3 linked regions of the Oryctolagus cuniculus genome follow. The protein of the gene in region 2 interacts with the protein of the main gene of each other region in a pairwise test. Links are inferred from orthologs where the notes say so. Each region holds a gene or a part of one and is shown on either strand. Other genes may lie near its edges.

The links.
Region 1: the proteins of C7H1orf216 (region 2) and ODAD1 interact in binary tests that used the Homo sapiens proteins (3 or more experiments, as listed by UniProt). The two-hybrid records come from large-scale screens. The link is inferred for Oryctolagus cuniculus from reciprocal best matches to the Homo sapiens genes C1orf216 and ODAD1.
Region 3: the proteins of C7H1orf216 (region 2) and MYRIP interact in binary tests that used the Homo sapiens proteins (3 or more experiments, as listed by UniProt). The two-hybrid records come from large-scale screens. The link is inferred for Oryctolagus cuniculus from reciprocal best matches to the Homo sapiens genes C1orf216 and MYRIP.

What each region holds. Positions count from the first base shown.
Region 1 is NC_091449.1:8,690,295-8,700,226, forward strand, and holds part of ODAD1 (outer dynein arm-docking complex subunit 1), read left to right. Parts: intron 1-3,952; coding exon 3,953-4,075; intron 4,076-4,191; coding exon 4,192-4,305; intron 4,306-7,476; coding exon 7,477-7,544; intron 7,545-9,279; coding exon 9,280-9,467; intron 9,468-9,550; coding exon 9,551-9,685; intron 9,686-9,909; coding exon 9,910-9,932. UniProt on the Homo sapiens protein: Component of the outer dynein arm-docking complex (ODA-DC) that mediates outer dynein arms (ODA) binding onto the doublet microtubule. Involved in mediating assembly of both ODAs and their axonemal docking complex onto ciliary microtubules.
Region 2 is NC_091438.1:136,910,847-136,920,878, reverse strand, and holds C7H1orf216 (UPF0500 protein C1orf216 homolog), read right to left. Parts: upstream 6,592-10,032; 5' UTR 6,341-6,591; intron 3,730-6,340; 5' UTR 3,725-3,729; coding exon 3,050-3,724; 3' UTR 1,056-3,049; downstream 1-1,055.
Region 3 is NC_091441.1:107,434,787-107,444,718, reverse strand, and holds part of MYRIP (rab effector MyRIP), read left to right. Parts: intron 1-3,129; coding exon 3,130-3,210; intron 3,211-6,699; coding exon 6,700-6,797; intron 6,798-6,999; coding exon 7,000-7,080; intron 7,081-8,606; coding exon 8,607-8,735; intron 8,736-9,932. UniProt on the Homo sapiens protein: Rab effector protein involved in melanosome transport. Serves as link between melanosome-bound RAB27A and the motor proteins MYO5A and MYO7A. May link RAB27A-containing vesicles to actin filaments. Functions as a protein kinase A-anchoring protein (AKAP).

The sequences.
Region 1 (9,932 bases), on a different chromosome or scaffold from region 2:
GAGAAAATAAAATAAGACAAACATACAGCCAGCCGAAAGCCCTAGGAGGAAATCTAATAAAGAGTGTGCAAGGCCTCCTTGGAGTTACATTATAACATTTTGTGTATCTGCTGAAGATTTATTTTAGCTATTTGAAAGGCACAGTTATAGAGAAAGAGGAAGAAAAAGAGAGAGTGGGAGGGCTGCCATCCACTGGTGCTCCCTCCAAGTGGCTGCGACAACTGGGGCTGGGCCAGGCCGAAGCCGGGAGCCTGGAGCCTGGAACTCCAGGCACGTCTCCCACGTGGGTGCAGGGGCCCAACCACGTGGGTCAGCTTCCACTGCTTTCCCAGGTGCATTAACAGGGAGCTGGATCAGAAGTGGAGCAGTCAGGACTCCAGCTGGCGCCCGTATATGTGCCAGTGTGGAAGGTGGCAGCTTAACCCACTGCACCACACACTGGCCTCCGATTATAACGTATTGCTGAGAATTTTAAAGACGGTAACTAATGTGGCAATGTACCACATCCACGGATCGGCAGAGCCAGAGTTGTAGATTGTCAGTTGTCCCAAACTAATTTAGGCATTTGACGTGATTGCAAAAAAAAAGTTTTGGTGAGTGTAATTGACAAGCAGATTCCAAAGTTTATATAAAAGTGCAAAGAACAGGGGCTGGCGCTGTGGCACACCAGGTTAAGCCGTGACCTGCAGCGCCGGCATCCCTGCTGTTGTGCCTGGAAGAGCAGTGGAGGACGGCCCGAGTCCTTGGGCCCTACCCCAGTGGGAGACCTGGAAGAAGTTCCTGGCTCTTGGCTTCGGCCTGGCTCAGCCTGGCCATTGCAGCCATTTGGGGAATGAATAAGTGGATGGAAGATTTCTCTCTCTCTCCCTCTGTCTCTGTAACTGTCTTTCAAATAAATAAATAAAAAGAAAAAACAAACAACAATGAGAATAAAAGCACCAAGGTGAAGGAGCACTGGTGGGGGGTGCAAGTGGTCACACGTGTTCTGAAAAGCCCTTGCCTCCTCACCCACCCCCGCCCCCACTCTGTTAAATCTGGAGACAGACCTACCCACCACCTCTGACCAGGGCTGCGTCGTGTCTGCGTGGTCACCATCAAGGGCTCTCGGGGTCATCCTGGCACACTGGTGGGACCCGGCAGGCTACAGCTTGGCACCAGGTCACTTCTTTCTGCAGAGGGAGAGAAGGCAGGGAGACAGTGTCAGCACACCCTCCTCGGGCCGCTCACAGCGGGGCTGCAGGTGCTCTGTACCCAATCACGTTGTTTGCATGATAAACGTTGCCTGGAAACGCAGCTGACATTCTGAATTCACCCCAGCCCAGTGTGTTTCCATGGAAACAGTGCTGGCAGCAAGCCAGAGTGGTCTTTCCACAGTTTAGATCTGCTGTACCCCTCCCACCGAGAAGTTCCGGTTCTGAGCATCGGCCCGGGGCCGGCCTGTGGCCAGCGTGAGGCAGAGTGCTGGCAGGTGCATCTTCATCCCAGCCCTGACACCCATCAGAATTTGAATGAGTCCATCGATGTGGTGTATTTGTGATCCAACAGTATACAGCAGTGAGAAATGAAAGATCTTTGTCTCTCCTCTCTCTGTGACTTTTCCTTTCGAATAAAACAATTTTTTTTTATGAAACAATAATGCAAAGAGCTCCCTTAGAGAGAGAGCTTCCACCCACTGCTTCACTCCCCCAAATGCCCATAACAGCCCGGGTTGGACCAAGCTGAAGCCAGGAGTCAGGAATTCCATCCAGGGCCCAAGAAATTGAGCCATCATCTGCTGCTCTCCCAGGTGCATTATTGGGAAGCCGGATTGGAAACGGAGCAGCTGGGACTCCAGCTGACACTCGGGTGTGGGCTACAGCATGGCCTGCAGTGGTTTAACCTGGTCTGCTCCAGTGCCGGCGTCTGAGGACTTGATTTTTATCACAGCAACTGCTGAACACCCAGTTTCACAGACGTGACACCACAGAAAGGAATGTAGTGGAATCTGATGGTAGATACCACTACTTTGGGAACCACCTTAAGCTAGAGGTTTTTTTTTTTTAATTTATTTTATTTATTTGAAAGACAGAGTTACAGATAGAGGTAGAACCAGAGAGAGAGAGAGAGAGAGAGAGAGAGAGAGAGAGAGAGGTCTTCTATCTGCTGGGTCATTCCCCAGATTGGCCAGAGCTGAGCCAACCCAAAGCCAGGAGCCAGGAGCTTCTGGGTCTCCCACGCAGGTGCAGGGGCCCAAGGACTTGGGCCATCTTCCACTGCTTTCCCAGGCCATAATAGAGAGCTGGGACAGAAGTGGAGCAGCCGGGACTTGAACTGATGCCGGCGTTGCAGGCCTGGGCTTTAACCCGCTGCACCACAGTGCTGGCCCCTAAGCTAGCAGTTTATGTGGTGTCTGGACAAAAATCAGTATCCTCAAAAATCGAAAATATCCCTGTGGTGTTTGGTGTGATGTCTGGAGGTATGTTGGTGTCTTCCACGAGTTCATGGAAATGTGTATTACGAAAAAGCTATGCATGGGGCTGGTGCTGTGGTGCAGCGGGTAAAGCCGCGGCCTGCAGTGCTGGCATCCCATATGGGTGCAGGTTTGAATCCCAGCTGCTCCACTTCCGATCCCACTCTCTGAATGGATGGCCCAAGTGTTTAGCCCCCTGCATCCACGTGGGAGACAACTGCTCCTGGCTTCCGACGGGTCCAACTCTGGCCATTGTGGCCATCTGGGGAGTGAACCAGCAGGTGGAAAATCTTTTTCTTCCTCTCTCTCTCTCTCTAATGCTGCATTTCCAATCAATCAATCAATCATCTTTAATAAAAACCTATACATGGATTTGAATTATTTTTGGCATCAAAATAAACTCACCTTTTAATTCCACTTGCAGACTCTCTGAAGTCTCCTTATGCTATTTCACTGAGGTCTCTAACAAGGCACACAAACTGGGGTGGGTGGGGGCATCCAACAGCAAGGCATCGTCCCACAGTCTGGAGGTCTGAAGTGCAAGGCCAGGGAGTCTGCAGGTCTGCTCCAGGCTCCGCCCCTGGTGTCTGGTGCCCCCTGCCACGCAGAAGCGTCGGCCCCATTGCTGCCTTGGTCTCCACATGGCCGTCTCCCTGTGTGCACCTCTGTGTCCCAAATACCTTCCTGATGAAACAGCAGTCACATTTGATTAGGCCCCTGCCCAGTGATCTCATTATATTTTGTTATTATTTTTAAGGATTTATCTATTTATTTGAGAGGCAGAATGACAGAGAGAGAGGGAGAGAGGGAGAGAGGGAGAGAGGGAGAGGGGGAGAGAGAGAGAGAGCAAGCTTCCGTCTGCTGGTTCACTCCCCAAGTGGCCACAACGGCTGGACTGGGCCAGGTTGAAGACAGAGACCAGAAACTCCATCGGGGTCTCCCACGGTGGGGGCAGGGGCCCAAGCACATGGGCCATCTACCACTGCTTAGCGTATTAGCAGGGAGCTGGATCAGAAGTGGAGCAGCCGGGACTCGAACCAGCGCCTGTATGGGGTGCTGGTGTCCCGGGCGGTGGCTTTACCCACTGCACCACAGCGCCGGCCCCATGATCTCACTTTAACTCAGTGACCTCTTGGGGTCCGGCCCTGCCTCACTACCTACTTGTGCCTGCCAGCCTCCTTCTCCCAGGATCCTCTCTGTTGGTGGCGGTGGCAGGGGCTACGTCAGCAGGCGTCCTGGGACCTCAACCTCCCATCTCAGGCGTTTCCCCCCAAACACCGGGAAAGGAGGCAGGCTGGCCAAGCTCTGGGCTCGTGTCTATCTCCAGGCCAGTCCCCGAGGTTGGCCACGGTCAGGGCAGCATGTTAGCCTCACCAGAGCCACACAGAGAGTCACTGGGAACTGTCAGCTGGGCCACCTGGACAGAAGACGGCAGCCACGGCCGGGCACTCCCTCTCGCCCACACTGGCTGTGACAGACAGGAACCAGCCTCTTTCTTTCCAGATCCAGGAGTGGGAGACCCGGATCTTCACCCAAAGTAAGGACGTCATGGGCCCGGGGGTCGTCCTGGAGCAGAAGGTGAGGATGCAGCGGCGGATCAAGATCCTGGAGGACCAGCTGGACAGGGTGAGGGGCGGCTTCGCGGAGGGAGGGCCCCGGGGAAGCGGGCTGCTGGGGACCCAGCTGGGCCAGGCGCCAGCCACACTCTCGCGTCTGCCTCCCCCCGCCCCCCCCTCCCCCAGGTCACCTGCCACTTTGACATCCAGCTGGTGCGGAACGCGGCCCTGCGGGAGGAGCTGGACCTGCTGCGCATCGAGAGGAACCGCTACCTGGAGGTGGACCACAGGCTACGGAAGGTCAGCGGACTCCTCCCCAGGTCCTGCCTGCGGCTGTGCGCCCGGGGCTGCAAGGGCGGAAGTGTGGGAGGCGCCCGGCGCGGGCAGGGGCAGACTGGCAGAGAGCAGAGCCAGGCTCCAGGCACCTGCCTGGCCTCTGGGGCCCACTGAAGAGCCAGCCCATCCTCCCGCCCTTCCTCTCTCTCTCCCCCTGTGTGTATGAGTGATGGTGTTTTCGCCAGAGGAAGCCTATCACTGTGACTGTGGAGCTGTTTGGCGGCGCCTGGCGGGGCTGATGCGTTCGGTGCGGGTTTCCCATGGACGCCTCGCAGCTCTGCGAGGTGGGACCTGAACGCGGGAGAGCGTTCCAGGCGGCCTCTGTTCGGTGGTCCCAGCGCTGCCCTTTGCCATTCCAGGCCAGGGCCCCAGCACATGGGTGCACCTGGAGCCGCCGGCTTCCCGCGGCTTTGTCCCCTGACCTTGACGTTTCGGAGGCTTCCAGGACGCCGGCCGTGGCTGGACGACGTCCCGCCCCGTGGGTCCTGTCCGCTCTGTGTGGCAGCCTCAGCAGTGCGGGCACGGGGGGAGGGGGCGCCCGAGGCGGGCAGCTCTGATCCCCGTCCCTGTGGCCTGGTGAATACGTGGCCTGCAGTGTTCGGGCACGGGCCTTGCTGCGCAGCTGGTTCCCTAACCCTGTTGTTTGTCCGCCTGGGGGTGTGTGCATGGGCGGGAGCCTCCCCACCCCCCTTCCCACTGCAGTCTCGGGTAACAGGCAGCCCTGAGTGTGGCTACCCACCTTGACGTGCAGACTGTCCCTGTCACTCCTGTGAGCCCTTCCTTCCTCTGGGGCACCGGGAGGACAGGCTAGGCAGGCGGGACCTGCGCTGTCCCAGTTCCCAGGGACTCCTGGTTTCTGTCCAGTGAGGAGCAGGTGTCGGGAAACCAGGACACAGGTGCCCTCATTGCTCTTGGCTTCTCTCAAAGCCCTGAGAAACCACATGCACGTTTTATTTATTGACCTAAAACATTTATTTATTTATTTCAAAAGTCAGAGTTACAGAGAGAGGGGGAGAGACACCCACAGTGAGAGAGAGCTCTTCCATTCTCTGGTTCATTTCCCAAATGGCCACAAAGCCAGCACTGTGCCAGACTGAACGAAGCCAGGAGCCAGGCGCTTCCTCCAGGTCTCCCAGGTGGGTGGCAGGGGCTCAAGCACTTGGGCCACCTTCCATTGCTTTCCTAGGCCGTAGCAGAGAGCTGGATCAGAAGTACTGCAGCCAGACTCAACCGGATGCTGGCGCTGCAGGTAGTGGCTTAACGTGGTACACTACAGTGCCGGCCCACATGTGTATTTTTTTTTTTTTTGACAGGCAGAGTGGACAGTGAGAGAAAGAGACAGAGAGAAAGGTCTTTCTTTTGCCGTTGGTTCACCCTCCAATGACCGCCGCTGGCGCACTGCGCTGATCTGAAGCCAGGACCCAGGTTCCTCCTCCTGGTCTCCCATGGGGTGCAGGGCCTAAGCACTTGGGCCATCCTCCACTGCACTCCCGGGCCACAGCAGAGAGCTGGACTGGAAGAGGGGCAACCGGGACAGACTCCGGCGCCCCGACAGGGACTAGAACCCGGGGTGCTGGCGTCGCTAGGCAGAGGATTAGCCCAGTGAGCCGTGGCGCTGGCAACATGTGTATTTTAAAACGAGTTTATGTCAGTGCCTGTGATCCAGTCCAGCATCACTATTTTTTTTTCTAGAACGTTCCCAGTTTCAGCTATCTCCTTCCCACAGTGGGGACCCTGGCTCAGTCACCCGACACGTGCAGAATCGTTGCAGCTCCGCCCGCCCCACACCCCCAAGCCTGGGGCAAGGAAGAGCTCAGGGCTCGAGGCTCATGTGGGTCATGCTTGGTGCCCAAGGGGAGGGGTGTCTGCAGATGGAGCAGAGTGACCGCCTCACTGCCCCAGCCCCGCTGCCCCGTCCCAGCTGTCCCTGCTGCCCTGTCCCTACCATCCCCGCTGCTCCAGCCCCGCCGTCCCCGCTGCCCTGGCCCCGCTGCCCCGTCCCAGCCTTCCCCGCTGCCCTGTCCCAGCCGTCCCTGCTGCCCTGGCCCCGCTGCCCTGTCCCTGCCATCCCCGCTGCTCTGGCCCCGCCGTCCCTGCTGCCCGGGCCCTGCTGCTCCAGCCCCGCCGTCCCCGCTGCCCTGGCCCCGCTGCAGCTCTGCCCTTCACTGGCCCCCGCTTCCCTCTGCACTGGCTTTCCGTTTCTCTCTCTACTGATTTAGTTGCCTTTGTCCTCTGTGAACGTTAGCAAGGCTCCCGAATCACAGCTGTCCCTACGCAGACCTGGAGCCTCCTCCATCTCCCCCAGCCCTGTTGCCTCCTTTTTAACTTTTATTTATTTATTTATTTATTTATTTATTTATTTATTTATTTATTTACTGGAGAGGCAGAGTTACAGACTGAGAGAGGCAGAGGCAGAGAGAGAGGTCTTCCATCCGCTGGTTCACTCCTCAAATGGCCGCAACGGCCAGAGCTGAGCTGATCTGAGGCCAGGAGCCAGCAGCATCTTCCAGGTCTCCCACGCGGGTGCAGGGCCCCAGCACTTGGGCCATCTTCTACTGCTTTCCCAGGCCACAGCAGAGAGCTGGATCAGAGGTGGAGCAGCCGGAACTCGAACCAGTGCCCATATGGGATGCCGGCACTGCAGATGGTGGCTTCACCCGCTACACCACAGTGCCAGCCCATTTCCTTACTTTCTGATAATCCATTCTGGGTTTCTGTTTGCAAAAGTAAATGTGTACATGTGTGTGTGGAAAAAAATGGAATGAAAAGATAACTTTATTTTGCTGTTCATTTTCGAAATCCTACCTGGAAGTGTGTGTGTGTGCATGTACAAAATTCCCCACCTTTCTCCATCCTTCTCTTTCTCGCTCATTCTCGAGAATGCTTTTCACCCCCCGCCCCGGGCACTAATGTGGACGTAGGAGAGCAAGCAGTGTGGCCACAGGGCCACGGTTCAGCGACGCCATCCTGGGGAACATTCACGGGCAGGCGTTTCCCAGCCCCTCCACTGGCTCTCCCCTGACTGCCGACCTCCCGCTGCACCCTTCCCAAGCTCAGGGGTCGCCCTCGCGGGTGGGGCAGCGCGGGCTTGGGGAGCTAAGGAGCCGGCTTCTCTTTGGTCCTCCTCCCCGGCAGGAGATGCACCTGCTGCAGCACATGGTCAGCACCCTCATCCTCTCCTCCACCTCTGCCTACGCCATCAGGTAAGGGCCCCTCCGTGGCGTCCCAGTAGGGCGGGGCCTGGGTGATTCAGGTGCATCTGCCCGAAGGCCAAGGTCCCATTCCTGGGGTGTGCAAATGAACCTCATTGGCCCCCGTGGCTCGTGGCTCCCGGTCTGCAGTGAGTAAGTAAGGCTTCCTTACCCCGTGGCTAGTGCAGGGCCAAGGGAGATGAGGCAGAGGCAGGGCACCCAGCAGGCGCTGGCGGAAAGGGACGGAGACTGTCCGGCCACTTCAGGCGGGGACGCTCTGTACAGGACGGAGCTACCCTCAGTGCGGGCTTCTCTGGCTGACTGTGGCTCTCAGGGGCTCCAGGCTCTGCCTCTGCCCCTCTCCCTGCCTCAGCCCCGTTCCCCTCCTGCTCCCCACGCGTGGTTTCTGGGTCTCTCCCTCACAGGGAGCGGCACTGGCTCTCCCTCGGCCGTCCCTGGCACCGGAGCCTCAGCCCTCACTCCTACTGAGGTCCAAAGTGCTCCCCCCCCCAAAGGAAACCCTGGCACTCACTGTCCTCCCTCCTCTCCCTCCCCTCCCCGAGGCCCGGCAGTCCCCAGGCTCCTTCCTGTCCCTGGGGTTTGCGTGTTCTGGACGTTGCACGCTGAGGCAGGCACACAGTCCTTGGCTGTGGCCTTCGTGTGGGCCTCTTTCCTGAGGCCCATCTACCCTCGGACCACCACGGCTCCGATCTAGCCTCTCATGTGGCTTCTCTCTCTCCAAGTCCACGGAGCACCTGCGGGCTCGTGCTTAGCGATTCTCAGTCCTGATTCTGCAGGAGGGACTGCGGCTGGCCGGGCTGTACGCGGCCAGCCCCTCGACTCTGCCTGCTTCTGCACCGTGAACTGCCATGCAGGGCGCAGCTGGGCAGCTCCAGCTGGTGAGGGAGGAGGGGGCAGCCTGTGTCCCCTGCACTTTGCTAGGTGACTAGGGACGGTCGCTTCCGGTCTCTGAGACTCTGTCCCTAGGGCTGCCCTGGAAATTCAGCCGTCTAACGCACACGGCCCTCCCCTGGCGCCTGGGGAAGCTGGGTTTCGTCTCCCCTGCGCCTTGGTGTCGTGGAGCCTAAGGCCCTGGAGGAACTGAGTCCTGATTCCGGAGGCCTGTGTTGGGGGTGGGGGAGCTGCCTCCCGATTGGGCTAAGGTGGCCCTGGCAGGGTGAGGAGCTGGAACTCTGGGTGGAGACGAGAGCTGGCGTGGCTGGCGGCCAGAGGCCCTGGGGAGCCTGGCCTGCTGCCTCGCTGCCCAGCCCTGCGGCCTCGACGGTGACCGTGGCGCTAGGCTGGAGTAGAGACTGCATTTTCAGCAGTGCAGGGCAGGGATGCATGGTGAGCTGCGAGTCAGGGCGCCCCCCGGTGCCCCCAGAGGAACCTGCTCAGGTGGCGACGTGCCCGGCCCGCCCATGCCGCCCTCATCGCCCGCGGTCACCTTATCACCAGGCCACCTTTCCCCAGTTTGGGGTCATCGCTTGCTCTGTCGCCTTCACCACCTCTCACCAATCACAACAGTGTCCTGGCTCCCAGAAGCCCCCACGGTGCCCCGCAGCCACGCCCTCTCATGGGCCCTGCACCTCTGCCCTGACCCCGACCCCGGCCCCATCCCTCTCCTAGAACCTAGATCGTTCTGCCCGCCCCTGTGACTTCTGGCCGACCCCACGCCCGCCCCTACAACCCCAGGCCGACCGCTACCCAGCCTGCAGTGGCCCTGACCCAGGCTGGCCTCCCCCAGGGAGGAGGCGAAGGTCAAGATGGGCATGCTGCGGGAGCGCGCGGACAAGGAGGTGGCGCAGAACGAGACGGAGGCGCAGGCGCTGCGGCGGCAGATAGCGCACCTGGAGCGGCTGCACCGCTTCCTCAAGCTCAAGCACGACGAGCGGCAGCCGGACCCCGCCATCCTGGAGAAGCGCGAGCAGCGCGGTGAGCCCGCGCCCGGCGGCCCGCGTGCGCCCCGCCGCCAGCCGCCGTCCGGGACGCCGACCCAGCCGCTCCGTCTTCCGCAGCCCGGGAGGAGGCCGAAGGCCTCCGCAAGACCTCCCAGGAGAAGCTGGTGCTGCGCTACGAGGACGCCCTGAGTAAGCTGTCCCAGCTCACCGGGGAGAGCGACCCCGACCTGCTGGTGCAGAAGTACCTGGAGAGTGAGTAGGGCCCGGGCGGGGCGGGAGGCCGGACCGGGGCGTCGCGGGTGCAGCCCGCGCGCCCGTCTCCCCCACCCGCCTCCGGGCCGACGCCTGTGTCCTTCTGTCCCGTGACGAGTCTGTCTGCCCCGTCTGCCCGCACTTGTCGCCGTGGCCCGTCTCTCCGCCTTTGCGGCTGGCGTTCTTTCTCCGTCGCTCTGCCTGCCTTGGCCGACGCCCCCAAGTGGAGGAGCGCAACTTCGCCGAG
Region 2 (10,032 bases):
TTAACCAACATGTGCCTTCAGTGGTGGGTAGCCCCTGCCTCCTGGTACCCATAGCCTTGCATAAGAGCCTCAAGGGACGGGCTGCTAGCCGTGGGACCCTGAGGGGTGGCACTTCTGTGACGAGGCTGCAGAACACTGGGACTTCTGTCCTACTAGCTGTCACTTGGCCCTTTCACGTGCTTTCAGGAAGCAAGGGGATATGCTGGAAGGGCCCACGCGGCCAGGCACTGCAGCACACGGCTGAGGGCGAACAACGGAGACCTTAGGCTGACACCTAGCCAGCAGCCCTGGGATAGACCGCGACCCTGCAGACCCAACAGCTGTGCTCCGGCGCCCAGCACATGTCACATGTGTGTGTGACATCACACATGTGGACTGTTTTAAGTGCTCCCTAAGTTTGAGGGTAAGTTGTTATGCAGCCGTAGATAATATACTTTCTTTATCAAAATAATGATTTTTTTTTTTTTTGAGAAGAGGCCAGACCAGCTATGGTGAAAGCTGGCTGGCCTCGGGGTCTGGGGGCTCCAAGCAAGGCTGGGGCCAGCAATGGCCTTGGACCTGGAAGATCTCAGACTTGGGAGCTGAGAGTTCTGCAAGCATGGGGGAAAATTAGAAATTATTAAACCATATGCACTAGCATAAAATAGGAGCGTAAAATAGGAGATACACTCTCTGGTTCCTACCTCAGTCTCCCCCAGTCCAGGACCCTTCAGGGCAGTGGGGACTCCAGGCTATGATTGAATAGCAGTGTTGTGTATGTGATGGTGGGAGGCCGGGTGGGCAGAGTCACACACCTTACAATCTATTCGGCCCCAAGGCGACTTAGGACAAGGACAACCTCATGCAGAGCTCTCTCAGGCAGGGCCAAGGCACCCTCATCAGACTGGGAAGCTGCTGAGACACCGCCATCAGATCGCCAGGCCCAGGAGGCTGAACTCCTCCCCAGTGTCTCTCCTGACCACCGCCCCCTACCTCCCAGCACAGGCCCCTGCCCAAAGGGAGGTCGGTGAAGAAGAGGACACCAGACAACAGAACAGAGAAACACACTTGTGAAGTTCCACTCTTGGCCCCAGTTTATTCATCCTGGGTTAGGCCAGGCAGCAGGTTCACACTCAGCATGCGGGAGCTACAGACACCAAGAGCCCAGGGTCCACATTTCACGCCCTCTCCCTGTACCTTTCCCCCACCCACTCCTCGGGATGGAACTCTTTTGAGATGGACAGCAAGATCCTCTATGCACGGCAGACATGGAGACTGAGGGCCAGTGGTGCCACGGCTGGTCCAACGGTGTAGCCTCACCCACAGCAACCTCAGATTCTCTCGGCTCCCAGGAGCAGAGCCGAGAGTTCAGCTACCTCAGTCGTTGGTCCTGCCCAAGACATGACCACTCAACAGCTCTCGGAGCCTCTGCTGGAGCCTGTCCCTGTTGAAAGGCCATCCAAGAGCTGCCCGAGGCTGGGCTGATGCTGCCTCCTGCCCACAGTCTCGCCCTGCAGAAAGGGACCAACCCAATTAACAGGCAAAACTGCGAAAGCCAGAGACGCACAGCAAGGCACAGGCACAGAGGGGGCAGGGAGAGGTTTTTCCCCGACTGCCTTGGAACACCCACCTATTTCTTGCAAGCTTGTGAGCGCACGTTCCTTCTCGGCAGAAACTTAAGTCAATGCTTCGGTCGGTTAGGGACCTGCTATGTTAGAATTTCCACTCTCCTGTTCCTCAAAGGGCTCTGCCACTGTCATTTCCCTATCACCATGTCCAGTGTGTCCAATGGCAGAGCCCAAGAGGAATAGTCCCCAACCTTCCCTGGCACCTCCTGCCATGAGCTGCACCTTCCCGCTCCCAATTTCCTTCCCTCAAGCCAATTCTCCACCAACTGCTCTGAAAAACTGTAGATAACATGCTATGGCAGGGGGCTGGTGTTGTGGCGTGGCGGGTCAAGCTGTTGCCTGCAATGCTAGCATCCCATACGGGCGCCGGTTCAAGTCCCAACTGCTCCACTTCTGATCCAGCTCCCTGCAAATGCACCTGGGAAAGCATCAGAAAAACGGCGCAAGTCCCTGGGGCCCTGCAGCCACATGGGAGACCCAGAAGAAGCTCCTGGCTCCAGACAGGTGACTTAGGACAAGGACAATCTCATGCAGGGCTCTCTCAGGCAGGGCCAAGACACCCTCATCAGACTGGGAAGCTGCTGAGAGACCACCATCAGATCGCCAGGCCCAGGAGGCTGAACTTGCCTTATGGCCATTTGGTGAATGATTCAGTGCACGGGAGACCTCTCTCTCTTTCTGTAACACTGCCTTTCAAATAAATAAATAAATATTGTTACAAAATGCTGTGGTAGGCCAGAACAGCCTCTAAACCCCTCACAGCAAAGCCAGCATCAAGGACAGTGAGCGAGAAGAGCAAGGTATAGGATAAGTGAGGGGAAGAGATGAAGAGAAATGGTCTGGAAAATTCTAGGAGAATGGATCAGCCACAGATAGATGACAGCAGGGTACATCCTTCAACTGACAGCAGGCCAGCCATTTTTCATTGGGGGACAGTGAGACCCAGAGGAAAACAAAGGCTGGTGTAGGCCACGGGTAACACAGGATGTGTGCAGATGAAATCAGTAGGCACCTGCTCACCAGTCTGTCTGCAAATACATATGCACCCCGACATATAGGCCTGCACACACAGGGGTTCACTCACACACACCTAGCACATGCCTACACATTCACACACACACACACACATCTTGTGCATAAACATCCTCACTTATGCACATACACACGCTGTTGGGTACCTGTCCACACTTGCATATACAAATTCACTCCATTACATACATGCTACATACATGTTCATTCTTACATACTCACATGTAACAGCACACTCAAGCTCATTCACACATACCTGCACACACCCGTTTTTATGTTAGCACATACACACTCATTCATTATGCTTACCCGCACTCAAGCTAGCAAATAATCATATACTTATTTGTGCACAGCCACACACATGCCTGCAAACATACACATATATACCCTCGCACACTTGTGGGGGCACAGCCTTAGCCCTGGTCCTGGGGCCTAGATGGTGCTGCCTTCTGCTGGAAACGCCGGATAAGCTCCTTGCGATTGTCTAAGATGGTATCGAAGCTGTCCTGCAGCCGGGCCTGCTGGTCAACCAGCTGGTGCTGCAGGCCCCGGATCCACTGGAGCAGTGCCAGGCGCCGGTACATCACCAGGTGCACATGGTGCTTCTCCTTCTCCCGCTCTTTATAGCGCTCCTGAGCCTGCAGCTGTTGCACAGCCTGGGCCACGGAGGGCAGAAGAGGATCCGGGGGGCCCAGGCCTCGAGGGGTCCCACAGGCAGACTCAGGACTGCTGCTGCGGCTGTCGATACTCAGGGAGCTGCTGGTATAGCCGTTGTCCTCCAGAGGGGAGCAGAGTGTGCTGGTGCCCCCCATCTTCTCAGGCTCAACCCCGGGAATCTCTGCTCCCTCCGGGGGGCTGCGGACGCCCTCCTCGGGGGCTCTGGGAGCCTGGTTGTTGGAGGGCTGCTCGGGGGAGCTCCTCCTCAGGACGGGCTCCACGGTGCCTGGCATCCCGTGCCAGTTCTCATTGGCGTCCCTGGGATTTGCCATGAAGTTGGAGTTGCTGTCTGGTTGGGGCTGGCATACTCCGGGGGGCGGGCCCCCCAGGAACGGGCCCCCCTCAGCTAGCCCTGGCTCCATGGCGAACATCTGGTCTGCAAAGGGGAAGCAGAAGAGTCACACAGGACAGAGCCACAGCAGCCTGGCCACAGGGCAGCAGGCACACGCCTGGCAGCTCCTTGTCATCCCCTCCCCTTGGCTGGGCTCGCACTGCCCCTGCTGGTCCCCACCTCCCTCACTGCTCCTTTGCAGTAGCCTGCACAGCGTGTTTTTCAGCGCTCCGAGGCAGGCTGCCTTTTCGTTCTACACGCTTCTCCCCAGATGACCCGGCTGTGGGCTGCAGCTTTGGGAATCATCATATGCTGGTAACTCTCCAATCTGTCTCCAGCCCAGATCCAACTGTTACCCAGCCCTGCAGCCACCCACAGGCCCCTGGAAATCTCCCAGTCCCAGCCAGCTCCCATCTTCGTGTCCTCAGCAAGACGGCTCTGCTCCCTGTTCAGCCACCCCAGCCAGAGCCCGGAAGCATCCTGGAATAAGCATTTTCCTTCCGTCCCTCATCTCTTATCAATCACCAAATTCAGACAATTCTTCCTCTTCAATTTCGTTTGGCTCAGGCCATTTTTTACCTGGACTAGTGCCACAGCCTTTTCACTAATCTCTCTTCCTGTGGCTAAACATGTAAATTTGGGGGCTCAACGTGGTTGCACAGCAGGTGAAGCTGTTGTGGCAATGCTGGCATCCCATATCAGAAAGCTGGTTCAAGTCCCAGCTGCTCTACTTCCAATCCAGTTTCCTGTTAATGCATCTGGGAAGGCCGTGGAAGATGGCCCAAGTACTTGGGCCCCTACCACTCACATAGGGACCAGGATGGAGTTCCTGGCTCCAGGCTTCAGCTTGGCCCAGCCCTGGCTGTTGCAGCCATTTGGAGAGTGAACTAGTAGACAGAAGATTGGTATTTCTCTCTTCTCTCTGTCACTGACTTTTTTTTTTTTTTTTTTTTTTGGACAGGCAGAGTGGACAGTGAGAGAGAGAGACAGAGAGAAAGGTCTTCCTTTTGCCGTTGGTTCACCCTCCAATGGCCGCCACGGCCGGCGCACCGCACTGATCTGATGGCAGGAGCCAGGTGCTTCTCCTGGTCTTCCATGGGGTGCAGGGCCCAAGCACCTGGGCCATCCTCCACTGCACTCCCTGGCCACAGCAGAGAGCTGGCCTGGAAGAGGGGCAACCGGGACAGAATCCGGCGCCCCGACCGGGACTAGAACCCGGTGTGCCGGCACCGCAGGCAGAGGATTAGCCTAGTGAGCCGCGGCGCCGGCCATGTCACTGCCTTTCAAATAAATAAATGAATTTTTTAAAAAAGATTTATTTAATTATTTGAAAGGCAGAGTTAGAGAGAGAGAGAGAGAGAGACACCTTCCATCCGCTGGTTCACTCCCCAGATGGCTGCAATGGCCGGAGCTGTGGCAATCTGAAGCCAGGAGCCAGGAGCTTCTTCCAGGTCACCCATGAGGGTGCAGGGGCCCAAGGCCTTGGGCCATCTTCCACTGCTTTCCCAGGCCACAGCAGAGAGCTGGATTGGAAGTGGAGCAGCCGGGTCTCAAACCAGCGCCCATATGGGATGCTGGCACTGCAGGCGGTGGCTTTACCCGCTATGCCACAATGCCAGCCCCATAAATAAATGAATTTTAAAATGCAAATTTAAAAATTGAGTGAGTACTGTTCCTGAACTCCTCTTAAAGATCTACATGGCCTAATGGCCCTGAGCACCCGCACCCTGCCTCCCATCACATCCGACTGCTCCAGGAGCTCAAGATCCACTATTGTTGCGCTCCACTATGGCTCTGGCCTGCAGTGCCTGCCTCTCCCTTCCCCTCTAAGCTCCTCCCTCTCCACCCGGCAAATGCTCTGAGGCCTGCCTGAGAATCCCCCCTCCATCTGCCCCGCCCTTAATAAATGTAAACACAGTTCCTCATGCCTTCCTCCAGCTCCCCCCATCACGCTCCTGGAGCAAGCACTGAGGTGCCACGCCCGATGCGCCATCCCTCTTCCCCCACCACCTGCATCCTGGCCCTAGTTTGCCCCATCCGGAGTTCCAGGAGGGAGTGCAAAGGGCATCCCTCTTCCTAGCAGGGCTTCCACCAAAATCCCGGTCTGAACTGAGAAGAGGTTTCTCCCGACCACGACCACACACTTACTCCCAGGACAGGGAAACCGGAGGGTCACTAAGGGGTACAAGGTAAGGGCAGCAGGCCCCAGGGGGACCCCTAAGGTGGCACAGGCTCTTCCCACAGTTGGGAGAGGGCAGAAGGCCTGGAAGGATCCAGTGGGAACGATTCCCGCGGTGACCTGCGGACCCCCAGGCCTCCCACCAAAGTGTGCACTTAGGTGCCTGGAGCCTCCCCCGAGTCTTTTTCCTAAGCAGGCTGGAATGGGCTGGTGGTGGCGCTGAGGATCCTGGGTTCTCAGCGATAGTAAAATGGGGATCAGACCCCGGCCCCACCCCCAGTTAATCCGCAATTTGCCAGGGCCGGGAGCAGCGGCGGCCGCCCTTCCTTCCTGGCGCTGCCGGAGACGTCCCCCGGGGAATAGGGCAGAGGCCGTCCCCGCAGAGCTCCGCGGAGGGGCCGCTGGGCGCGGGCTGCAGCCCCCAGCCCCCGGCCCCCGCGGCGGGGCCCCCAGTCCTCCCCCTCGGCCCGGACTCACGGCCTGGAGGCGCCCGCTCCGGCGCAGCTGGCTCTGGTTCCGGCGCGCCCCGCTCGGCCTGGGGGTGTCTCGCCCGGGCTTTCCCGCGGCCCGGGCCCGGACTGCGGCTGCTGGCGGCGTCTGCGCGGCGGGGCGGGGTTGGGGCGGCCCACGTGGGCCGGTTCGGTTCTGCGTGGGAGCCTTGCGCGGGGCCCCTGCGCCGCAGCCGCCTCCCCCGCGCCGGCTGCTCAAGGCCAGGCCTTCCAGGTCTGGCTGTCGCCTAACGGCGCTCGCTGGGCCCCTCCTTCCTCGAGGCTGTGGCACGCACCGCAGCCTCTGCCTGAAATGTTGTCTCCTGGCTAGGCTTCCCCACATTTCAGATCTGAGAAACCTTCTGTGATCCCCGAGACAAGACTGGTCCCCCGCTTTGTATCATCTCAGAGCACTTATGTTCCTTTGATCAAAATCTGGAATTTTATATTAATTGTGTGCACATCTGATTCATCATTAATGAAAGCTACTTTAAAAAATTATTTAGGGGCCTCAGCGGCCATTTGGGGAGTGAACCAACGGAAGGAAGACCTTTCTGTCTCTCACTATCATTCTGTCAAATAAATTAAAAAAAAATTTAAAAAGTGCACGCCCCATATAAAAAATTATTTATGTATTTGAAAGGCAGAGTTCCAGAGAGGGAGAGAAGAGATCCAGCCCCCAAATGGCCGTGGCCACAATGGTGGAGCCAGGAGCCTGAAACTCTATTTGGGTCTGCCACTTGAGTGGCAGGGGTCCAAGCCCTTGGGACGTCCTTTGCTGCTTTCCCAGGTACATTAGCAGGGAGCCTGATTTGAAGTGGAGCAGCAGGGACTCCGCCAGCCTTCCTATGGATCTTGGCATTGCAGGCCTGGGCTTACCCCACTGCGCCACAAAGCCAGACTGAAGGCTACTTTTTTTTTTTTTTTTTTTTTTTTTTTTTAATATGCTGTGGCGTATTGGGTAAAGCCACCGCCTGCAATGCCGGCATCCCATATAGGTGTTGGTTCGAGTCTCCGCTGCTCCACTTCTGATCTAGCTCTCTGCTATGACCTGGGAAAGCAGTAGAAGATAGCCCAAGTCCTGGGCCCCTGTACCCACGTGGGAGACCCGGAGGAAGCTCCTGGCTCCTGGCTTCAGATCTGTGCAGCTCTGGCCATTGCAGCAACTTGGGGAATGAAGCAGGAATGAAAGACACACACACACTCTCTCTCTCTCTCTGCCTCTCCTTCTCTCTCTGTGTAACTCTAACTTTCAAATAAATAAATAAATCTTTAAAAAAAAAATAGAAAGAGTCCCCTGGGACAGAGCTCAGGTTGCAGAGAATTCCTGCTAGGCACAGACGCCCTCCGTGGCGCCTGCACAGTGGGTTCCTGTGCAGTTGCCCATGTGCACAGATGTAACTGGATAAGAAAGTCCTCGGTCCCAAGCTGGAGTAGCTTGTCAGAGTTCCACTCACTGACCCTGATCCCTGTCACTCCCTTCCTCCTTGTAGTACGTGTGTAGAGAGCTCAGTTTGCAATTAGAGAACAGAGTCATTTCTGACCCTATGAAGCATCCTCTTCCGGTTCCCACGTGATTCTGACTCACCATTCTACAACCTGGAGACCCGATGGCACATCGCACCACACCAACAAACCTACATGCAAAAGCAGGGGAACTGGAGAGAAAAAATTATGATCACAACAACTGCGATTTTAAAACAGAATAGGGGATAGAAGGCAAAAGTCAAAGTTTGGGTAACAGCTAAGAGAATATAGGTGGTGACTTCAGCCCCATTCATACCCAGGCCCTAAGGCCATGTCTCCTCCCCTTTCCCTCCCCTTTCCCCTTCCCCTCCCTTTCCCCTTTCCCTCTCCTACTGCAAGATCCCCTTGCCGGGCTGGCACTATAGTGTAGTCGGTAAAGCCACTTCTGGTGCCAGCTTCCCATATGGGTGCCGGCTCGAGTCCCAGCTGCTCCACTTCCAATCCTGCTCTGTGCTATGGCCTGGGAAAGCAGTAGAAGATGGCATAGGTCCTTGGGTCCCTGCACCTGCGCGGGAGACCCGGAAGAAGCTCCTGGCTCCTGGCTTCGGATCCGCCCAGCTTGCACTGATTCAGCCATTTAGGGAATGAGCCAGCAGATGGAAGACCTTTTTCTCCCTCTCTTTCTCTGCCACTCCTTCTCTCTGTGTGTAACTCTTTCAAATAAATAAATAGAAGATCCCCTTGCCATCAGCCATCAGTTTTCTTCCTTATGAAGTGACCCAGACCCAAACTCCTCAAGGCTCTGAGCTCTTGGTCATGAAGTCATCCGATTGTTTGGTCTGCGCAGAATAGCCTCTCCCCACCTCTCCTTGGGCTCTGACCCCCCAGCTCTAACCACGTGAGTTAAACAAGAGCTTCATAAGTTCAAGAAGAAGCACGCAACAATGCTGGCCCCGTAAAATAAATAAATAAATCTTTTTTTTTTTTTTTTTAAAGAGTCCTCTCGGGATGCTGTCTGGTTTCAGCCCCGACTCCTACACTTCCAATCCAGTTTCTTGCCCTGGGAGGCAGCAGTTGATAGCTCAAGTACTTGGGTCCCTGCCACTCCCAAGAGAGACCCCAGTGGAATTCCTGGCTCTTGGCTTTTGCCTGGCCCAGCCCTGGCTGTTGTGGGCACTTGAGGAGTGAACCAGCAGATAGAAGACATCTCTCAGTCACTCTGAATTTCAAATAAAAAATACATATTCTTTTCTAAAAAGACAAATAATTATATGTTGATCATTGTCTTAAAGCCTGCAGGGGGGTGGGTATTTGGTCTGGTGGGCTGGGCTGCCTGAGATCACATTGGAATGCCTGGGTTTGGTACTGGTTCCAGCTTCTGACTCAAGTTTCCTGCTGATGTGTGCTGGGAGGCAGTGGTGATGGCTCTAGTAGTTGGGTCCCTGTCACTCACATGGGAGAACTGAATTTGGTTCCTGGCTCTTAGCTTTGGCCTGACCCAGCCTTGAGCCATTGTGAGCATTTGGGCAAGTGAACTGGCAGATGGGAGATCTCTCTCTCTCTCTCTCTCAAATTAAAAAAAAAAAAAAAATAGTTTAAAGCCTAGGCAAGCAGTATTCCAACCTGACATAGCTGAGTCATCAATTCCATTGTGTTCTGTAAATCTAGTTGCATCTAAATAACATAATACCTGATAAGTGAATTCCAAGATCTCCAGACTGTAACCTCTCTTTTCTAAATCAAGGACAGCGTTATGTGGGATACTCTACCACTGCATAATGAACACAGCCAACGCATGGGCAGTGGTCCTGGGCCACTCCATAATTTTCAGAAAGCAGGGAGCCTGGAGAAGAAAAGGCCCAGCAAGGTAGGGCTGTCTGCCTGAAGACAGAGAAGTAGATGCAGAGATGTCTGTTACTCATTCACCAGCCAGGACACCAGGGAACCAGTTTCCCCAAGTGAAGGGGTAACTATGGCTATACCACATATGCCAGAGACTTAACTGGAAGGGACACAGACATCACCAAGGATGGCCAAGCAGGACCAGCCTGCATCGGGCTCTGCACAGGCCAGGCCTCAAGAAGATCCAGCCATAGGCAGTAAACAAGAATCTGGCAGACAGGGGCCAGAGCCAAAAGAGGCTAGCAGTGAGGCCCAGAGCCAGGCCCAGGGTCTGGGGTGTCAGGCAAGGACTCACGAAAAAGGAAAAGAATT
Region 3 (9,932 bases), on a different chromosome or scaffold from region 2:
GGATCTTTCCTTAATGTGTTGTCCAATGTGAAGTAATGCTATAACTAGTACTGAAACAGTATTTTACACTTTCTGTGTGGGTGCAAACTGTTAAAATCTTTACTTAATATATACTAAATCGATCTTCCATATATAAAGATAATTGAAGATGAGTCTTGATGTGAATGGAATGGGAGAGGGAGCGGGAGATGGGAGGGGTGCGAGTGGGAAGGAAATTATGGGGGGGGGAAGCCATTGTAATCCATAAACTGTACTTTGAAAATTTATATTTACTAAATAAAAGTTAAATATATCCCCAAATTCAAATCTTAGAGGCATCTTCTACCACTTGATGCACATTGAGGGAGAAAGCAAATGTGTGGAGGATCCTATAGAGCCAAGCACTATACTGATTTCTCTCCCTTTCTTCCTAGGGCCCCACAGGTAGAGGTGGACAAGAATCCCAAGTGGGCTGGTGCAGGGCTTTGACATGTACAAGTGTCCTTTTCAAAGGAGAACCAGTTGCTGGGGCCAAGCACCTGCCACGGTTGAAGTTGACTGAGGTGCTGAGTCCCTGTGACTCACACTTGTTTAATCTGAGCCTCAGTAGCAGCACATACCACGCTGCATCCAGGTGATGCCTCACAAGGCCACATCTCCAGCCAGTCCCTGATGTGCAGGAGGTAGCTTCTCCATCTCTGTGTTCCCGAAACAAGGATCCGTGCCTGGCACATCATACCTTCTCACTACTGCAGTAGTTCCATCTGAAACGCACCTTGTGAATTCAAAGACATTTTCTAAAAGTGCATATTATAATCAGTTGCTTCAGTATGATGGTATCTCCATGTAAACCACGGTTTCCTTTTGATAAACATGAAAACAAGCAGATAGGCATCAATTTATGAGATGATACCCAAGCCTAAATCCACAATCACCAGACAATGTTTTAACGTGCACACCTTGTCCTGCCATCTGTCCCTCCCAAGCTAGCCTCACTCTTCTCCCTTGGCCCATATCAGGTGCTAGATTAGGCCTAAAAAAGGAGACTCATTGTTTTTCCAGATAGGTCTCAGATTTGTCCATTTCTTTAGTAAACAGTTTTTGAACACCACCTGTGTAAAAAAGTTGAGGAGGTGCTGGGCTACCCCCTGCCATCGCAAAGCCAGCATTCCAGTAAAGAAATCAGATTCCTAAGTAACCACATTTATAAGTAACATAGTGTCCAATGGCATTGAGTAATTCCATGCCCATCTAATGGAGCCAGCATGACATTTTTAAGTTATCCTAAAAAGAAGCACTACATGAAAATCTAAAAGTAGCCGTTATTAACATACTTAGTCTTGAAACCATTGGAAAAATAGTATGTGCTTCTATTTCATATTGGATAAATACGATGGGGAAAGCAAACCCTGCTGCACATATTAGTGCTGTGTCTATTTTTGACATGATTATTGGAAAGGTCTCTTGCATCTTTCATCTGGGATTTGATTGACGCATGTGAACTTTTGAGAGAGCTGGATTACATGAAATCAGAGGTTCGTCCAAGTCATGAGAAGCAGTGACTCAGCGTCCTCTGGCTGCTGACTCATTGTGCTCCCTAACAATTGCTGTCTGCCCTTGGAGAGAATCACATCGTCCTAAATGACACGGATGCTCCCACCTATGCATTTAAAGAGAAACAGAGGGCCAGACATTGTGTAGACAGTCTTGATTTCAAGTCTTGAAAAACAGGAGCTTGTCCCCTGATGAGCCCAGTCCTGTGGCAAGCTCACACACATTTTAATATAATCTCTCCTCAAATTCTGCAGTTTCCTCGTTTTCTCAGTGGAGTACCTCGCCTTCCTCTGCACATGTCAGACAGGCTACCTGAGGCTGCAGTTGGGGCACCATCCCCCTACTCTGTCTACTGCCCCTCCTCTCGTTCTTTGCATATAATTCCTGTCACCTTCCAGGAAGGTCTCAAGGTCACTCTGTCTTGCCTATCCAACCCGTGTCTTAAACAGATCCTTCCTGGTGGTTTCTAAGCACACCCGAGTCTCTCCCAATTCCTAAATTGCATGTTTCTCCACTCATTGCTCTGCCCATCTCAGCACAAGCCAACTCCAGAGAGTGGGCGGCACTTGGAGCTTTCATGTCCTGTCCCCCCTCACTCCCCATCTCCCCCTTCTCCTTCCAAGCTCTTCTCTACACAGTAGCCATGACACACCTGTGGAGGCACAAATCTGATCCCTCTCTGGGACCCCTCATTGCCTCTTCTATAAATCCTTGGATGCGACCTGTTCTCCCATTGCCCATGCCTGTGCAAGCCACTTGCTAAGCTCTGTTCTCTAACCTGCTGGCAGCCCCTTGATTGCATCCTCACTGGCTAGATCAGTCTTCCCCACTGAACATTTTAACTGTACTGAGAACTATGCCGTATGACTCCTGTTTTTCTGGAAACTGAGTGTTAGATAAGGAAACTTGCTCAGAGTCACACAATTAGAAAGATGCCTGTCAAGGAACTGATCTCACACTCTCTCTTTCTTTGACCTCTCTGTTACCTCCAAAGAAGGTATCTTAGACCATTTTGTATTGCTGGACCAGAACATCTTGAGATTGGGTCGTTTATAAACAGTAGAAGTTTATTGGGCTCTTGAGTTCTAAGGGCTAGAAGGTCCAAGAGCATGGCCAAGGTCGTCTTGCCACGTTATCCCTAGGCAGAAGGACAGGAGAGCATAGACAAGAGGCCGAGAGAGCAAGAAGGGGCCACTTTTGTTTCAAGCTCACTCTCCTAATAACTAGCCCACTCCAGAGAAAACACATTAATACATTCGTGGAGCAGAGCTCTCAAGACTTAATCACCTGATGTTGGTTTCCACCTCCCAGCATTGTTGCCTAGGGAATTAGCGTTCAGCATGAGTTTGGGAGGCAATAAACATTCATGTCACAGCAGAAGGTACTGGAAGAGAGTTACAGGAGACAGAATGCTTCACCAGGAATTATTGTGAGAGGGAGGAAATATGTACAAGATGACAGCCTTATTGTGGTGGCCCCAGTGATTCTCTAAATCCACTTGCAAGGCTAACATAATCCAAGTGAGTACTGGTGATTTGCCAGTGCAATGATGTCCCCTATAAACCTTTTATTCTCTCTGTCTCCCTCTCATTCTAGGAGGAGGATTGTTTGAGTCAAATCTGGAGACTGAAGGAAGCGTTTCAGGAAGTGACTCGACGTTTTATAGGCAGTCGGAAGGTAAGGTTGCTGGAGTTGATAGCTACTGGGAAGTTGGAGGAAAAAAAAAAAAACCTTCAGAGTCTCCCAGATCCCTTCTTACTCCTGGATGCAAATACACACACACACACACACACACACACCACACACACACAATGTGGCCTGGAAAACTATTCAGTACCCAACTCTTTGATGATCAACTGGCATTGAAACTTAATAATCAGTCCTCTGATTTGTGCATCTTCTTCTAAAATATTCCTAGAAATAATTAATCCATTTATTGGTTAACTTTTTTATAATAAGGATTTTATTTATTTATTTGTGAGATAGAGTTACAGAGAGGGAGAGAGAGTGAAAGGTCTTCCATCTGCTGGTTCACTCCTCACATGGCCACAATGGCTGGAACTGGGCTGATCTGAAGCCAGGAGCTTCTTCCAGGTCTCCCATGTGGGTGCAGGGGCCCAAGGACTTGGGTCATCTTCTGCTTTCCCAGGCCACAGCAGAGAGCTGGATCAGAAGAGGAACAGCTGGGACATGAACCAGCACCCATATTGGATGCTGACGCTATGTACATAAGCTTAGCCTACTACGGCACAGCGCAAGGCCAACTTGTTTTTTTTTTTTTATACCAATAAAATAGTCCCCTTAGAGCAGTGGTTAAAAGCAAAACAGACTTCTAATTTCAAAGAAAAACTGCTGAAGCACTTTAACTCCTTCTCTAAAAAGCTTGACGTTGGCAAGCCGTGCCTTCTAGATTACTCACCCGTGTCTCCAACAGTTCTTGCTCTGGGTGTTGGGATGCTTAATCTTATGTGTCAACTTGACTGCCCTAAAGGATGCCCAATGGCTAGTAAAGAACGATTTGTGGGTGTGTCTGTGAGGGTGTTTCTAGAGGAGATTAGTGTCTGAGTTAGTTAAGAATATCTGCTCTTACCCATGTGGGTAGATACCAGCAATTCTTGAGGGTCCAGATAGAACAAAAAGGCAAAGGAAGTACAGATTCCTTTTTTATCTTCCAAACTTGACACAGCCATCCTCTCCTGCCCTGCATTTCCACTTCCTTGAACATTATTTAAAAATTCTTGATGAGCATATATATATATGAATATGTAGTGATCAATCAGGATAGTTAACGTTTCCATCTCCTTACTGTTACTTTATGCTTGTACACTCCTCTCTTCTACTCATTCATAAACCATGGAGTAGCTTCCCGTGAACTATGTCTGCCTGCGATACGTAGAATACTAGATCCTACTCCTTCCATGTAACTGGGTACCCATTGGGCAACCTTCGCTCTCCTCCATGTCCCACCATCTTTCCTACTTTCTAGCAGCCACTACTTTATATTCACATTCACTTTTTTTTTTTTTGCATCCATGTATCACTATTTTTCTTTCTGTGTCTTAGCTACTTCACTCAGCTCACTGTCCTGCCACCTATCCGTGCTGCTGCAAGTGATCACATACGTTCCTTTTGTGGTTGTGTAATACGTCACTGTGTGTGCACACCACAGTTTCTTTATCCACTCATCCATTGATAAGCATAGACATTAATTCCACATCTTAGCCATTGTGATAGTGCAGCAATAAACAATGGGAGTAGAGGTATCGATTCACTATGCTTATTTCCTTTCCTTTGGATGCTACTCAAATCTTGGATAACTGAATCCTATGTTAGATCTGGTTTTTAATTTGAAAGGCCAAGTTACAGAGAGAGAGGGAGAGAGGAAGAGACAGAGGATCTTCATCCACTGGCTTGCTCCTGTTCTTTGTCTTTTTTAATTTTTTAACTTGAAAGGCAGAGAAAGAGACAGAGAATCTTCCATCCAGTGGTTCATTCCTTAGTTGGCTGCAATGGCCGGGACTAGGGCAGGCTACAGCCTGGAGCCAGCAGCCTCTTACAGGTCACCCACGTAGGTCCAGGGGCCCAAGCACTTCGGCCAGCTTCCACTACTTTCCCTACCGTTAACAAGGAGCTGGATCGGAAGTGGAGCAGCTGAGACTGGAACCGGTGGCCATATTGGATGCCAGCACTGCAGATGACGGCTTAACCCACTGAGCCACAGCACCAGCCCCGTTGTGTTGTTTTGTTTTGAAGCAGCCTCCTACTGTTCTCCACAATGGCTATGCTAACTTAAAGTCCCACCAGTAGTGCATAAAGAGTTCCCTTTTCCAGGCTGACGCTGTGGTGTAGAGGGAGTCACCGCCTGCAGTGCCAGCATCCCACATGGCCGCCGGTTTGAGTCCTGGCTGCTCCACTTCTGCTCCGGATCTCTTCTATGGCCTGGGAAAGCAGTAGAAAATGACCCAGGTCCTTGGGCCCCTGAACCCATATGGGAGACTTTGGAGGAAGCTCCTGGCTCCTGGCTTCAGATCAGCCCAGCTTTAGCTATTGCAGCCATTTGGGGAATGAATCAGTGGATGGAGGATCATTCTCCTCTCTCTCTCTGTCTTTGAAATAAATAGATCATTATTTAAAAAAAAAAAAAAAAAAAAAAAGCTCCCTTTTCTTCATGCTCTTTCCAGTATTTTTTTTTACTTATTTTTTAAGATTTATTTATATGTAACTCTGCCTTTCAAAATAAATATATAGAGAGATCTTCCATCCACTGGTTCACTCCCCAGATGACCACAATGGCCACAGCTGGGCTGATTTGAAGCCAGGAGTTTCTTCTAGGTCTCCACACAGGTGCAGGGACCCAAGGACTTGGGCCATCCTTCACTGCTTTCCTAGGCCACAGCAGAGAGCTGGATCAGAAGAGGAGCAGCCAGGACTCGTACTGCTGCCCATATAGGATGCTGGTGCTGCCTGCAAAGGCTGAGCCTACTATACCCAGCGCCGGCCCCTTGTATTTGCTTTTAACCAGTATCACAGCCCAGTATTCTTAGGACATTTAATAACTTGTATCCCTGTCATCACAAGGACACATTATGTGAAAACAAAAATAATGTCTGTCTGACAAATTGGATAAAGAACCATTGTTTCCTTGTATTGGACCCTTAAGCTGTTACTTTGTTAAGCCACCGTGTGTGCTCGGATCTGTCCTTAGTGTCAGGATGCAACAATGGACGCAGCCAGATCCTGCTGAGAATGACCTATGGGAGGGGGACAGGGGGTGGAGTCTGTCCGGCTCCAGAGGAAGCAAACCCAGGACCCTGGATGGACATCAAGGCACTGGGGTGATTGAAGGGATCAAGGAGGAACCCTGGGTTGAGCTTTAGGGTCCCCAGAACCAGGAGCAGGAGACCATGGGCCCACGGTGACGGAGTCATGCCAAGAGAGCCGGTAGCTCTCAGGATTCCTGAATAACTCTACAGTGCACACGGTGTGAATGATGCGTGGGGACAGAGCGGGTAGGTGGGACAGCAGGGAGCTCTGTGCGCCCCCCTGAGCAGTGTGCCTCTCACCCTGGAGCCCCTGAAGGACTGGGGCGGAGGAGCTGCAGGTGGACCAGTCGGTGTGTGCCTGCTTCCCTTGTAGACCTTACTCTGTGTTCTGTTTCCCGTGCAGGACACAGCATGATGGACACCTTGGCTGTCGCCCTGAGGGTGGCTGAAGAAGCCATTGAGGAAGCCATCTCCAAAGCAGAATCCTACGGGGACAGCCTGGTAGGGCCTCCCCTTGGGCCCTGTGGGTGGTGGTGGCTGGGGAGTGGGGGCAGTCGCTGGCTGCCAGGAGAAAGTGGATTGTCAGGAAATCGGTGTTACAGCAGCCCCCACGGGAGCAGTGCCCACCTCCTCTGCTCCCAGAAGAGTGATTGCCAGGTCCCCCCAACCCCCCTCAGCACTCAGCCCTTCTCTTGATCCTCAGGACAAGCAGAACGAGGCCAGTTACCTGCGGGACCACAAGGAGGAACTAACGGAGGAGTTGGCCACAACCATCCTGCAGAAGGTGGGTGCAGCCTGGCCGCCTGGGCCTCTGCTTTCCTGCCTGTGCCTGGGCCAGGACATTTTTCTTTTTCAGCTGCGTCCCACATGTGGGAAGCCCAGAGCCTGGAGGCCTTTGCACAGATGTCCCTGTGACGTCCGAATGGCTGTCCTGCACAGCGAGTGGTCCGGCTGAGTGGAAGCGGAAGCCGTCCTGGTGACTGCGTGTCTGGCCCCTCCTCCGCAGGGGGCCACACCCTCGAGGCAGGATTCACGGCCAGACTGCAGGCTGGGACCCCTGAGACCCAGCCACAGCGTGCGTGGGTTGTGTGACCCTGGCTGCTCGCCTCGTCTCTCTGAGCCTATTTGCTCATCTGTAAAATGGGGTGAATTAGGGCATATTTCTCTTAGAAACACTCTGAATGAGGTAAAGCATATACAGTACCAAGCACAGAACCTACTGTATTGTAGGCCTCTGACACAGTTACGCCGAAGACTTGCGCTGAGCCCTCCATGTCTGTGGGCTTGGCATCCCTCAATTGAACCAACTGTAGATCCAAAATATTTGAGGGGCCAGCATTGTGGTACAATGAGTTAAGCTACCTTTTGCAATGCCAGCATCCCAGATGGGATTACCAGTTCAAGTCCTGTCTACTCCACGTGTAATCCAGCTCCCTGCTAATGCACCTGGGAAGGCAGTGGAAGATGACCCAAGTGCTTGGGCTCTTGCATCCACATGGGAGACCCAGATGGAGTTTCAGGCTCCTGACTTGAGCTTGGATCAACCCTGGCTGCTGTGGCCATTTGGGGAATGAGCCAGTATATGGAAGAAATCAATCTCTATCTCTGTCCTCTCTCCCCACTCTGGTCTAATAAATAAATAAGTCTTTAAAAACAGACTTGAAAAAACAATTCTGGAACTTTCCACAAAGCAGACTGTGAATTTGCCACAGGCCAGGCAGGGGGCTGAATCGGTACAGATGAAGCGAGGTGTAAGCTCACCATGCGACAGCCTCTACGGTTCTACAGCTCCTCCGCCTGCCTCCAGCACCTGCTGGCCTGCGGTTCATGCTCTGTGTAGCTGGACCTACGATGCCTGGTCTGTACTGAGCACACACAGACTGTTTTCTGTCACTCTTTGCAGACGGTAGTGGGTGCCGTAAGTAGTCCAGAGAGAGTATAAAGGAAATGGGATGTGGTGCTGAGGCTCTGTGAACATACTGCACCATTATATATAAAAGGGGCGGAGCATCCTCAGAGGTTGGGTTCTGCAAAGGGGTCTTGGAAACCATCCTCATGGACCCCCAGGGATGACTGTATTTGCCAACTGTAAAGAGCTGAAGAATGTTCAAGGCTACCACCGTGCTGTCTCATCGTAAGGCAGCTCGGAGACAGGCTGGCATTCTATGGCAACCAAGCTCCTTGATTAGATTTAAAAAAAAAAGAAAAATCCCAAAAGTAGTCCCAGGTACTTGTCTCTGGGACCCTGTCCACGCAGTTTGTGGAGCCTGGTCCAATAACTTGTCCCGCTCTTTTCACACCCCTGCCCAGATCATTCGAAAGCAGAAGAGCCGAAGTGAGCAGCAGGTGGAAGACGAGCCCCCGAGCTGCAGCCTGCAGGCAGTGGACAGCGGCGGCATGGCCTCCCCAGGAGCCCGCCGAGCTCCCGCCACCCTCTGGGTGAGTCCCCAGCGCATGCTCTGTGCACTTGAAGTTGACCGGTGCCTACTGGATCTTAAAGGACAGAAGGAGAGAATGAATGAATGAATGAATGAATGAGAGTGGGGGGCGGGTGGGTGAGAGAGGAGAGACGGAGACCAAGGAGGCACATAGAGGGGGCTTTTACCCAGGGAGCAAGAAAGGGGAGAATGAAGATGTTGATGTGCGGCATTTTTAATCCATCAGAGGGAATAGCTTCATGAGGGACACGTGCATTCTTACAGTGTAGCTCACCTGCTTTACTCCAAAACAGGAGAGACAGCAAGAAAACCACCATTGGCATCTCAGCCATCAGAATGGCCACATCTGGACATGGTGGGGAGGCCTCAGTGTGGTGCCACCCCTGTTTTTGTCTGGCACTCTAAGATCGACGCCATGGGCACAGTGCTCCCGGAGCTCATACAACCCTTGGCTGCTGGGCCAAGGTAGCCCAGCAGGGGGCGCACAGGGCACATGCAGGACACTGCAGTGATGGGGAGGAGCCAGGTGGAGCAGGGTCAGCCAAACCCTGGGGCGCCCATGGTTAGAGCATAGGGCCTGGACAGGGCAACGCACAGTGTGGTTTAAAACTAGAAAGTCAGAAGTGGAGAAGACAGCAGCAGGAATCATCGTTTTCCCCAAGGCCTCCGGTGGGACTCATCCCAACAGGGGCAGGGTTCACAAACAGCCTGCAAGGTAGCAGGGGCAGTTCCAGAAGTGATTGCCATTCCTCTCCTGCAGGAACTCCCCGAGGCCTCACCGCGCGCCCAGCAGGTGGGGGCAGCGAGGAGTAACTTAGTGCTTTATCAGAGATTTGCCTTTGTCGCTGGATTGGCAGAACTCCCCTTGCCGGCAGGCTGCTGGCTTGTGTTACTGCTGCTATTGTGTGTTCAACATCAAAGACAGCAAAATAAACCAAAGACTTGGGTCTCTTCCCTCCAGAACTTTCCATGCCGGTTAGCAAGGCAGGAGGGAAATGCAGTTAATACTGGTGAGAAGGAGAAGCTAGGAGACAGGGCAGAGGTGGGCATCCAGGTGAAAGACGCAGACTGGAAAGGGATTCAGGGTTCAGAGCAGGAGGGTACCCTGCTGGCAGTGAGACGGGGAGGCCCTACTGTGCAGAGCAGAGGTCGGATGCCCTTCAAGTAGCCTGTCACTCAAACTCAGTAACTCACGCCT